2 linked regions of the Arabidopsis thaliana genome follow. The protein of the gene in region 2 interacts with the protein of the main gene of each other region in a biochemical or structural test. Each region holds a gene or a part of one and is shown on either strand. Other genes may lie near its edges.

Region 1 (5,851 bases), on a different chromosome or scaffold from region 2:
AATAATTATTTCATTCACATAAATATATCTAAGAAAGATAGACACACATAATTAACAAAAGATAAACTAAATCGTATTAGAGTCATCATTTTGTCACCATCCAAATTCAAATTAAACTATTAGAATGTTAAGTGTCATATCATGTGGTTTAGCTATAAACATGTAATACTTTATAATCATTTTAAGTTATTTCTTATTACCATCATTCACTGGAATTTGTTTTACAACTTTTGTACAGTTGATCTTTAATAAATGAGCTAAAACTAAATAGAAGATTTTAAATTTTGATGATTGTCTATATATTTAGTGTAAAACAGTAAATGAAAGGCAAAAAAGCTGCAAATCAGATTCTGAATAAAAAACATGTTATGACGTCTAATCAAAGTTTTAGGATCCGAGAAGTTTACTTTTCTTGAAACACAATAATCGAAAGTTTTGTTTAATCAAAAGAAGCTCATAAATAAATTCTAGGATCCTAAATAGCTAAGTAAAAAACAAACTGAAATAGATTACAATGAATTCATACATTACATTTTTGTAGTTTGAGACCCTAGAAATACGATCTTGTTCCTCCTCTTTTGTTTATAGGCTCAGTTTTAAACCTTAATAAATTAATAATCTCGGAACCGATAAATTCTAATTAATTTATAAAGGTATTAATTTATTAATAAATCTTATAGAGAGATTTTATTAATTTTGTAATTTTTTAAAATTTCTATGTGAGAAGTAGTTTTTGTCTTTATAATCAATGTCTTTCAAAAATAAATTACAAATAAAAAACCAATTGTTAAGTTAGTAAACAAAAAACACTTTGTTCAATATAGTAAAAATATTAGAAATGAACTCTACTAAAAATTTTATACAAATTTAAGAAAAATGAACAATACTAGAGTTAAATCCCACTAATTTAATTAAATATATATATATATATATTAATAAGTGTAAAATTATTAATTTATGATATTGATGAGATCATATGTTTACGTAAGAGTTTTTAAAAACTTATTATTTTATAATTTCATTGATTTGTGTTATTTATTACATTGAAAACGTCAAGAATTTATTAATTTGTAAAAATAGTAATTTATCGAGGATTAGTTTATAAATAATTTACTGTATTAGCATTCACAAGGAATAAGCATAGTACATATATGTCCCAATGTTAAGTAAATCATTTTTTGTATAATTACTTGTCAAAAAAAAAAAAAAAAAAAAAATCATATAGAAACTAAAATATTTGGAAATATATATGGACTCAAAGGTTGTACAATTTTGGGCCTAACCGTATTATATATAATATACGGGCTAAATGTTACACGTATGAAGCCCAAAATAACCTCTCTTTTTTTTTGTCAAACTTGATTTGTAATTGAATTTTAATAAAATTAAATAATTGAATTTTAATAAAAATTAAATAATTGAATTTTAAATGCATATTTTTCGATAAAAAAAAAATGTCTGTTGCAGAAAATATTAAATGATACTTTCGCAGTGACGATTATTCCAAGGCCGTTTGCATGTGCAGATGTGCTTGATCATATAAAATCCATTCAAATTTTCTAACATTAGTAAATGAACAGTTCATCAGAATAAAAGAAACAGCTCGACATTTGGTAGAATCTCTAACCACACTTTTAAAGAAAAGACACAAACCTAATGGCTTCTCTCTCTCTCTCGAAGACAAAACACGACATAAATTTCTTAATCCTCATTACCTATCACCGACAAGTAATGAAACATCTCTATAATCTTATCTGATCAATCATATATAACCAAAAGCACTTGTTTTACTAATAAAACAAAGCAAAAATCATGTGAAATACAAGTTCTTATTGTTAATTTGTTATAGTAGTAATCAAATCAAATAAATAAACATTTCATCTTCTTGGATTCATTGCAAAACAGTCTGTCAAGTTGAGGTTGTGCAATGTGCAGTAATGAACAAACAACCAAACCAAGTTTAAGAACTTAAAGATTGCATTTATTGCCTCCACCTTAATTGGCTTTTCTACTTTCATTTACTTCTTCTTCTTCTTCTCTTGATCCAAAGTTTTCCTCTACACTACCTATAGATCTGTCTTTGTTCCTAGAAAAATGATAACTTTCAGTGAGTTTCTGTTTCTCTAAAGGCAAAACACATCTTCACTATGCAGATTTCTCTTCAAATCCATTTATCTTCCTTCACTTTTCTTCTTCTTATTTTCCTTCTTCCAGTACTCTCTGAGTCTCAGGTAGCTTCAAGTGAATCACAAACTCTTCTTGAAATCCAGAAGCAACTACAATATCCACAGGTTCTTCAATCATGGACTGATACAACCAACTTCTGTCACATTCGTCCGTCTCCTTCCTTGAGAATCATCTGCCTCCATGGTCACGTAACAGAGTTAACCGTCACCGGGAACAGAACTAGTAAGCTCTCTGGAAGTTTTCATAAACTCTTCACTCTTCTTACACAACTATCGAGCTTAAAGACTTTGTCTCTTACTTCTCTCGGAATTTCTGGTTCTCTTTCTCCTAAGATCATCACTAAGCTATCACCGTCTCTTGAGTCTCTCAATCTTAGCTCTAATTTCATCTCTGGGAAGATTCCAGAAGAGATTGTGTCTTTGAAGAATCTGAAAAGCCTTGTTTTAAGAGACAATATGTTCTGGGGTTTTGTCTCTGATGATCTCAGAGGATTATCAAATCTTCAAGAGCTGGATTTGGGAGGTAATAAACTCGGTCCTGAAGTTCCTTCACTCCCAAGTAAGCTCACCACTGTTTCATTGAAGAACAACTCCTTTAGATCCAAGATTCCAGAACAGATCAAGAAGCTGAATAACCTTCAAAGTTTAGACCTTTCTTCCAACGAATTCACCGGGTCGATTCCAGAGTTTCTGTTTTCGATTCCTTCTCTTCAAATTCTCAGTTTGGATCAGAATCTGTTAAGCGGGTCACTTCCAAATTCTTCTTGCACCTCCTCAAAGATTATAACTTTAGACGTGTCTCACAATCTTTTAACTGGAAAGCTTCCTTCTTGCTACTCTTCAAAGAGTTTCAGTAATCAGACAGTGCTTTTCTCATTCAACTGCTTGTCTTTGATTGGCACTCCTAACGCGAAGTATCAGCGTCCGCTTTCTTTCTGTCAAAACCAAGCAAGCAAGGCAATAGCTGTGGAACCTATCCCCAAGGCTAAAGATAAAGATTCTGCAAGAATCAAACTCGGGTTAGTGATTTTGATAATCATCGGTGTGATCATCCTTGCAGCAATTTTGGTTCTGTTGGTTTTGATTGCCCTCAAAAGAAGAAGATCAAGATCAGAAGATGATCCTTTTGAAGTGAACAACAGCAACAATGAGAGACATGCCTCTGATAAAGTCTCTGTTTGCAGCACCACAACTGCCAGCTCTAAGTCATTACCAGATTCAAGTAAACAATGACTTATCTTATTAATACTTGGACACTTGAAACTGAGTCTTTCTCTAGCAAAAACCATTAACAGGATCTTTCTGAGTGTAGGACGTGTACCACAGACAATGAGATCTGCAGTGATTGGTTTGCCACCGTACCGCGTTTTCTCCTTGGAGGAACTGGAAGAAGCGACTAACGACTTTGATGCAGCTAGCCTGTTCTGCGAACAGGTAAAAACAAAAACTTGACTTGAGACTCTGGCGACGAACCTAATAGATTACTTAATATATTTGGTATTCGAACAGCTGTATAGAGGTTGTCTAAGAGAAGGCATACCAGTGACAGTGCGAGTTATCAAGCTGAAGCAGAAGAGCTTGCCACAAAGCTTAGCTCAACAGATGGAAGTTTTATCAAAGCTAAGGCATATGCATTTGGTTAGCGTTCTTGGACACTCCATTGCCAGTAACCAAGACCACAATCAACACGCTGGACACACCATCTTCATTGTTCAAGAATACATCTCTAGTGGATCATTGCGGGACTTTCTCACAAGTAATAATAACCTGAAAAAGATTAGAATATATATTCAGGTTTCCATAGACTCAAATGGTTATTCATTATGGGAATTTTTGTGATCAGACTGTAGGAAGAAAGAGGTACTGAAATGGCCTCAGAGAATGGCGATAGCAATAGGAGTCGCTCGAGGGATACAGTTCTTGCATATGGGAGTAGCACCAGGAATCTTTGGGAACAATTTGAAGATAGAGAACATCATGCTTGATGAAACACTCACAGTAAAAATCAGTGGCTATACTATTCCTTTACCATCCAAGGTATAAAACTTTGTTTTATTTCTTCTTCTATTAATTGAATCTAAGAAAATTTAATGGCATTTCTAGGTTGGAGAAGAGAGGCCTCAAGCCAAAAAACCTCGGAGGTTGTTGTTGTTTCTTAAGATATGATCAAATGTGTTCTCTTCTATCAAATTTTGAAACTTGTTAATGAATAATGTGCAGTAATGAAGATAGAGAGAAAGAAGATGTGTACCAGTTTGGAGTGATACTACTACAAATCATCACAGGGAAAGTAGTTGCTGCAGGATCTTCAGAGATGGGAAGTTTGAAGCTTCAGGTCTGTTCTGTTTCAGTCAGAACCTTTTCATCTTTAAGAATCCGACACGGCTTACAAATTTAGAACCTCAATGTTATTATTTCCTGCAGCTGGAGAACGGTTTGAGAGATGAACCATCAGTATTGAGCAGCTTAGCAGATCCATCTGTTAAAGGATCATATGCTTATGAGTCGTTGAGGACGACAGTAGAGTTTGCTATCAACTGTCTTTGCGAAGATCAGAGCAAGCGTCCTTCCATAGAAGACGTTGTGTGGAATCTACAGTATACAATTCAAGTGCAGCAAGGATGGAGACCAAGCAGTGGGAATCATGAATCATCCATGAAAGCAATATATGAATGAAATGATCATAAAGAGAGGCAAAAACTGTAGAAACAATAATAAGTTTCAAACAAGTCAAGATGTAGTTTCATGGACTACCTGAAATATCTTTTATTAGCTAACTTAGTAATCTGTGAATAAAAAGCAAAAGGAGTTGAAAAACACACAAAGACATGTAAGAGAGTGTGTCCAGCTTTGCTCGACAACATTGCAGACTCTTCTGTTGTATTCGCGCTTGCTTTCGCTGAACATTCGTGCATCTCTTAAAACAAATCAGCAGTCTACAATCTTGCTAACCTGCTTGATGAAGACATCAAAATCTTCAAAAACCTTCACAGGTTCTTTATAACAAGAATCTCTGTGCCTGGAATACTATAGAAAATCCCAAAAGTTACTGCAAACCTCTCACTATGCTCACGTCTAACCTCTCCATCTCAACCACACTCCGTGTTTCGGGCAATCTCCAATACAGAAGTCTCTACCTCATCCAGCATTCTATAAACTTCCTTTGTTATGACTTGTATCGCTAGCTAAAAACAAGTGCTTGTGTTCCACATAACTATAATAACCATAGCTATACCCAGGTTAGGTAAGATGTCGAAAACAGCAAGTGGCTTTGCCAAGTTACCTCACCTAGCATACATACTACTGATCAATGCATTTTCGCTCACAAAACAAATTTTGTTACAATACCATTGGCTTTTACTAGCTTCTTACTTCTTGACCAATCTCTTGAGCCTCCAAGATAGATAGGCACAAGAAGACAGGATCATGACAAACGCTCGATGATCACAAACACATACACACCAGCTTCCTTCATTCGAGTTTGATATGTGAGCTCTCGTAGACGCACGTTCCATGGCGTCGAGAAGCCACCGCAGCGACGGTCATGGATATTGGCACTTTCGATGAGCTTGGCGTGTGGGGTATTTGTTTATGTGTCTATGAACCATTTATTGGCAAAAGGGTATCGACCAAACAAGATGGTCCATGTGGATGAGCCTGGTTAT
Region 2 (6,322 bases):
CGTTAAACTGTTGTACATATATTTGTACAGATATTATGCTGTACAGATAATTTTGTCGTTAGACTGTTGTAAAGTGCTTTGTAATAAAAATTTAGAAAATCATGAAACAAAATGCATATCAAATTATAGAGAAGAAAATATAGATTTTTTATTTTATGATAAATTTTAGAAAAATAAAATTTACAAATGAAGATTTTAGTTATTAAACTTAGAAGGGATGAAATGTAGTAAAGAAAGAAAAATAAATTTAAAAAAAAAACAGACCCACTAAACAAACTCTATACACGTCTCTCTCTTTCTCACCCAACAAAAAGCCCTTGTTTGTAATTTCCTTTCTATACCCTCTACCCCACTTTCTTTTCTATCTCACAAGTTTTCTATTTCACAAACAGTAAAACCCTGACTATATTACTAATTGTGAATAGTGACTGTACTACCTTTATAATTAAGTTTTGTACTAGTTTGCAAACAAATTCTTTATTAATCAAAGAAACAAGCAGGACGGATCAGAACTGCAATGTGCCATATCTAGGCCTTTTGTTCTTTATTTGTTATACAGAACTATTACGTACACGGTACATCTATGAAGGAATGCATCAAATTTACCTTCTATTGGCAATAGTAAAATCAAAGAAATCATGCAAAAAATATTTTTGCTTTATGTGAATGTACATAATGTAATGCAACCGATATTTTCCTTGCGCAGTCTAGCGAGCCACAGGGTTCACTTCGGTATCAAAGGTCATGGTCACTTCGCTTGAACTCGTTGAACCCATGTTCTGACTTTTCCCTCCCCTTGAGTTTTCTAAAGTTACACATTCGGTTAGTTCGGTAACAACTTGAGTCATGGTCGGTCTTGTCGCTGAAGAATCATTTACACAAGTCATTGCTAGCTCCACAAACTTCCAAACAGAATCAGAATGGTAATCTCCCTTGAGATTTGGATCTACAATTTTTCTAATATCTCCTTTGGTAATCATTAAATTCACCCATTCTGCTATGTGTGGCTTTTCTCGAGTCCGCTCAATCACGCGCTGATTTGTTATGATCTCCAATAAAACGACCCCAAAACTATACACATCACTCTTCTCTGTCAACCAATTTGTTCTGTAATATCTGCAAGACATTATGTAAAATATGTTGAAATTGTTTCTAATCATTTGAATTAAGAATAAAACAATGTGTGTTAAGTATATACTCTGGATCAAGGTAACCAATAGTTCCTGCAACAACTGTCGAGACATGACTTTCTCCTTCGTTTAGAAATGATCTCGAAAGCCCAAAGTCAGCAAGTTTGGCTTGGAAGTGTTCATCCAATAATATGTTTGCGGTTTTGACATCTCTATGAACAATTGGTGGTCTACATCCTTTATGCAAGTACTCCAAACCTAGTGTCACAAATTCATTTGGACCTATATATGTCATACAAAACTAAAGTTTTAAGAGAATAATAGGTTCATATATAAGGCTTTACTAACCTTGTGCGGCCTCCACTGCTATTTGTAATCTAGTTTCCCACCTTAAAACATCATCACCACGCTTCCCTGGGTGTTTTTTAACCAGGACGTTAACTTATGACCAAGAATGATTTGTTACATGTTTTTGTTCCATCGAAAATGGATTAAGATTAGGTGTCTGGTATAATACTTAAATTTGGTTTACCTGAGAAAAACTCTTTTAAGTCTCCATTAGCCATGTATTCGTAGACAAGAGCCAATTCCTTCCCTTTTTCGCAGTATCCAACTAGGCTTACCAAATTCTTGTGATGAACTCTCAAAAGAAGTTCAACCTAATGAACCACAAAAGCACACATATATTTCAAATCTATGGTCCATATTTATTGAAAACTAACAAAAGACACTTGCATAGAGGAATATTTTGGTGTTATAAGTACCTCTGCTTTGAATTGTTTATGGCCATGTTTTGAAGCGTGTGAGAGTACTTTAACAGCAACTTGCTCTCTACCATTTACATATCCATGATAAACCATACCGAACCCTCCTTTCCCAAGAACACTTCTAAAGTTATTTGTCATTTCAGTAACTTCCACGTAAGTAAACTTTTTCTTTTTTGTTATTCTTGGTGGCTCGGATGATCTTGAAGTTCTACCATTTTCTGCAATATAAAAATTTCATAGATTTTGTATAGTTTCTACTAGTGTATAGTAATTATAAGAGCTTATGCGTTCACCATAAATACCTTTACTCCTTGATGGATTTTTCTTTCTAAGAACCAAAAACAAAACCAATGCAGCTATAAGAATAGCTATTAAAGCAACTGATGAGACAACCGGTACAATTATACTCTTTTTGGGATGTCCACCTTCTCCAGGTTTATTTCCACATGGTCCTTTTGTGCAAAGAAGCTTAGGGTTTCCTTCAACACTATGAATTAAAATTTCATTATATATTTTATTGATCAGACCTATGATAATCATCAACTGAAGATCAATGTAATAAATACTTACTTCAGCTTCAGTCTTTTCTTATCTATAAGCTTTTGAGGAAGTTGACCGCTAAAATTGTTTCCACTTAAGTTTCTGTTAAGGTATAAAAAAGAGATATATAATACAAGGAGACAACTGTTTATCAAAAAAAAAAAAATAATTAAAAAAAAAAATAATAATAATACAAGGAGACAACTTATAAAAATAGTTAAAACACATTATTATGTTTCATACTGTCTTAAGAGACTTACATGATCAAGAGCGATTTTATGTCAGCTAGAAACTCAGGCACATCCCCGGTCAAGTCGTTATTTGACAAATCCCTGCCATTTGATATTGTTTTAAAAGAAAAGCTCCATCACAGAAATCACAGAAGAAAACAGAAAATGTTTGCTTTTGTTCATGTGTTTGTGTGATACTTACAACTCTTGTAAATGGGTCAAATTCTGGATGGAAGGTGAAATGATCCCGGTTAGTCCACTTGAAGACAAGTTTCTAGTGATACATTCATGAAAATAGAATGTTTCAATTGTGATATATTTAGAATAGAGAATTTAATTTTAATTATGATACGGTTATGGTGATTGAAAAATCTTACAAGAAAGTGATTGTTGGTGGAGTGGAACTATTAATATTGCTGCACTTCAAACCAGCCCACAAAAACTGCTCGGGGACACATGGATCTCCTTGCCAGTTAATTCTACTCAATCCATAAGTAAGTTGGATCTTCTTGATAGCAATCACTAGAATTTCATAGTTAATAATATATCAAGAATCAAACACATTCAAAGCTACAATTCATATGTATGAAAAATGTAAATTTACGAACCTTCATCTTGGTTTGTTTCTGATTGAGGAAACTCAACAACAGTAAAAAGTTCAATAGCATTGATGAGAGGAGGAAGAGTTGACTTTGTTGTCTTCACTAGCTGCAAGAGGCAACTTCCTCCTTTACATGTCAATGTCGAATCGGGTTGGGGGCTCATAGTATCTATACTTAACATTTTAGGACTATAAGGTCCATAATAAACTTTTCCATTCAGCAAAACATTGAATTCTCTAGTCTCGTTGGCTAACAAAGTTTGAAGCTCTGCGAAGTGAAGGTAAATGTGAAACCGTGTGGTAGAATCCTCTAAGCTCCATGGAAATTCCCATGTCCCATTATCATTAACACGGGTTGCAGCCGATGCCATTGCACCTTGTGGTAGATCAAAACCATTTGAAGTGTTTACATTGAGAGTTGTGGTTACAATTTTCCACTCCTTATATGAGAATGGGAACCATCTACGGTCGTTGACATCATCGGGGTACCTATACGTATCTTGTATTAGACATAGCTAGACAAAACCTCAAAGATGTTTGGCATCAAAGAAAGATTAAAAATATTTTTATATTTACTCATTATCTTTTATACCAAGATCCAAGAAAAAGATTCATTTCACAAATTAAAGTTTACGTACCGTAAAACGACACCTGAATCATTAAGATAACCTCTAAAATAGAGGAGCAAGGAGCTCCCAATGGCACTAATGTAAGTATCACTTCTCAAAGGTCGTAGCTCCAAGGTTGATATCATCGGTGTAGTTGTTCCTGTCTTAACAAGACAAATATCCAAAGGGGTTGACCTTGACATGTGAATTATCTCCACGAACACACCACCTCCGGTTGCATTAAAATTCACTGTTGTCACCTTATTAGGGCCAATAAATAGATCAAAGTTTGGGACAGTATTAAGACCATCGTAATTTCCATATAAGAAAGCTGCTCTAATCAAGTAATTTGTTCCTTGTGTGACATTCAGGTTATAACAGTTCCGCTCTCCATCTGGAAAGTATCTTAGAGTTACAAAAGCTTTTTCGAAGTTTCGCTCAGAGTCCTTACTGACTCGGCCATTCTTTCCACTCTCGATGAAACTAGAATCCGAAGTGAATGTTAATCCAGTAGATGGATTGGTATATGGAGATCCATCAGGTAACAGACCACAATCCAAAGTGATGAATCCTAATAAAACATTAAACCAAAACAAAAATCCTAATAAGGGGATCAATGTAAAGGAATTATCAGAAAAGGAAAAAACAAATTAAGAAAAAGAACATGAAGAGTGTTTCTTAATTTCAAAGGTTTAAAGATAATACCGTTTGGATCTTGAGCCTGAACAACATGTATAAAAGCAACTGTGATGATGAACACACATAAAACTCCATGAAAATACTTCTCCATTTTTCCTATTTCTGGAGGATAACACGACCCTTGACATCTTTTTAAGTTCCAAAATATTATTTTATATCACGTTCTGATCAAGTGGATACTAGTTAAAGAAACGAAACCCATATATTGTCAACGGCCAAAATAAAATACTAATATGTCTAGAAAACCCTGAACTTTCTAACATTTGCAATTTCACAACATTAACTCAAAACATTAAGGCGCCGTTTTCTAACATTTCAATACAAAATTATTTTTCCTTTAGCCTAATTAGGGTTTTTCCCTATGGGAAACTTTGGCTATAAGTAAGCGTCATTTCAAAGTTCTGTTATCCGACTGGTTTTATTTCAAAGAGCTTAACTCTAAAAATCGTATAAAGTTTGTTGTTCTCTGTGCCAAAAGCAAAAAGAATAGTACTCCCTAATAGATGCTTCTAACAAGTTGGTATAGAAAATTATTCATTTGTGTTTGGGGACATTAAGTTAAGTGATCAACTCCATCTCTTCATATATAGCTGACCCTTACCTTCATAGTTTTCATTCGATGAACATATATATATGCGGATAAGGTAAGTTAATACTGCGAGTGATTATAATTAGTTTTAAAGCATATGGAGAACATGTCAACGAGAGATATAGAATGTTATTTTGAGACGTGTATCCAACTCTAATGATTCTGATTTTTTTTATGAAAAAGAAGGTTGAAAACCACCCAATTTTCAAAAAAAAATTTTAAAAAAGAGAAGTTAGAAAAAAGATGATGATAGTTCACTTGTTCCAACTAGAGAGGCAATCTCCCAAATGGAGATCAAGATCTATGGATGCGGTGTTTGGTTACACGGCAAGAATACTCCATTTAGACTCTAACCACACTGGTCAGACGTATTAGAAAATATGCAATCCTTGAACAACGTTTAAAAAAATAATTGAATTAATGCTAACATTTGATTTAGTTCTATAAAAACAGAGGAATTTTCACACATGCAGTTTAAAATTCCTATATGATAACAATTAAATGTATCTTTTACTTGCAATATACAATATTTTATTTCATGATTTGGTTTTCGTCTAGGAAGTTTTAAAACAAAAACAACATACTATTAATTAATCTCTAATATATTATGTAACATATTAACGACACTATGACAAAGCCCTACAAGCCAGGTTTGCATCGTGTGGCTAATGAATCTCTTTCAGAAGTCAGCTACACTCAAAAATCTGTTTTTATTTCAAATGCTATGCTAAATTATAAAAACAGCTTATATATATACAAAAAGCTATATTTTTTTTAATACAATTTAGTAACATTTTATTTTTAAAATATACTACAGAATTATATTTAATCCATAAATAACTTAAGTCTAAACTACTCGGTTCTTTCGTTTTCTTTATGGGAAAATGAAACAGCGTGCTTCTTATCCCTCTTGGGAAAATGAAGCAGCGTACTTATTAAGGCAGCAACTGAATAGTCTACTTTTTTCACACACTCGCCTCAATTCAGTGTCATTATATAATTTAGTATCTTCCCATATACGCGATAGCGTGTTAGCCAAGGCAAACTCACTAGGGATTTGTCCTCTAAGCCACGAGATGAATCTCCGTCAAATCTACGAAGTTTAATGGATGAAAACAAAAGCCGGTATTGAAGCCGTTGTGGAAGTGCAACGCAGCG

What was found.
Region 1: the proteins of AT1G49100 (region 2) and AT2G02780 form a complex in vitro, tested with the Arabidopsis thaliana proteins (one large-scale study listed by BioGRID).

What each region holds. Positions count from the first base shown.
Region 1 is NC_003071.7:780,943-786,793, reverse strand, and holds AT2G02780 (Leucine-rich repeat protein kinase family protein), read left to right. Parts: upstream 1-1,871; 5' UTR 1,872-2,147; coding exon 2,148-3,408; intron 3,409-3,498; coding exon 3,499-3,620; intron 3,621-3,695; coding exon 3,696-3,942; intron 3,943-4,029; coding exon 4,030-4,223; intron 4,224-4,289; coding exon 4,290-4,327; coding exon of another isoform or gene 4,328-4,352; exon of another isoform or gene 4,353-4,406; coding exon 4,407-4,521; coding exon of another isoform or gene 4,522-4,584; exon of another isoform or gene 4,585-4,610; coding exon 4,611-4,862; 3' UTR 4,863-5,120; downstream 5,121-5,851.
Region 2 is NC_003070.9:18,165,440-18,171,761, forward strand, and holds AT1G49100 (Leucine-rich repeat protein kinase family protein), read right to left. Parts: upstream 4,667-6,322; coding exon 4,582-4,666; intron 4,448-4,581; coding exon 3,907-4,447; intron 3,758-3,906; coding exon 3,276-3,757; intron 3,190-3,275; coding exon 3,045-3,189; intron 2,942-3,044; coding exon 2,870-2,941; intron 2,770-2,869; coding exon 2,698-2,769; intron 2,540-2,697; coding exon 2,468-2,539; intron 2,385-2,467; coding exon 2,200-2,384; intron 2,116-2,199; coding exon 1,895-2,115; intron 1,790-1,894; coding exon 1,663-1,789; intron 1,545-1,662; coding exon 1,479-1,544; intron 1,389-1,478; coding exon 1,199-1,388; intron 1,117-1,198; coding exon 708-1,116; 3' UTR 689-707; downstream 1-688. Other genes in the region: AT1G49110 (uncharacterized protein), read left to right, coding at 6,274-6,322.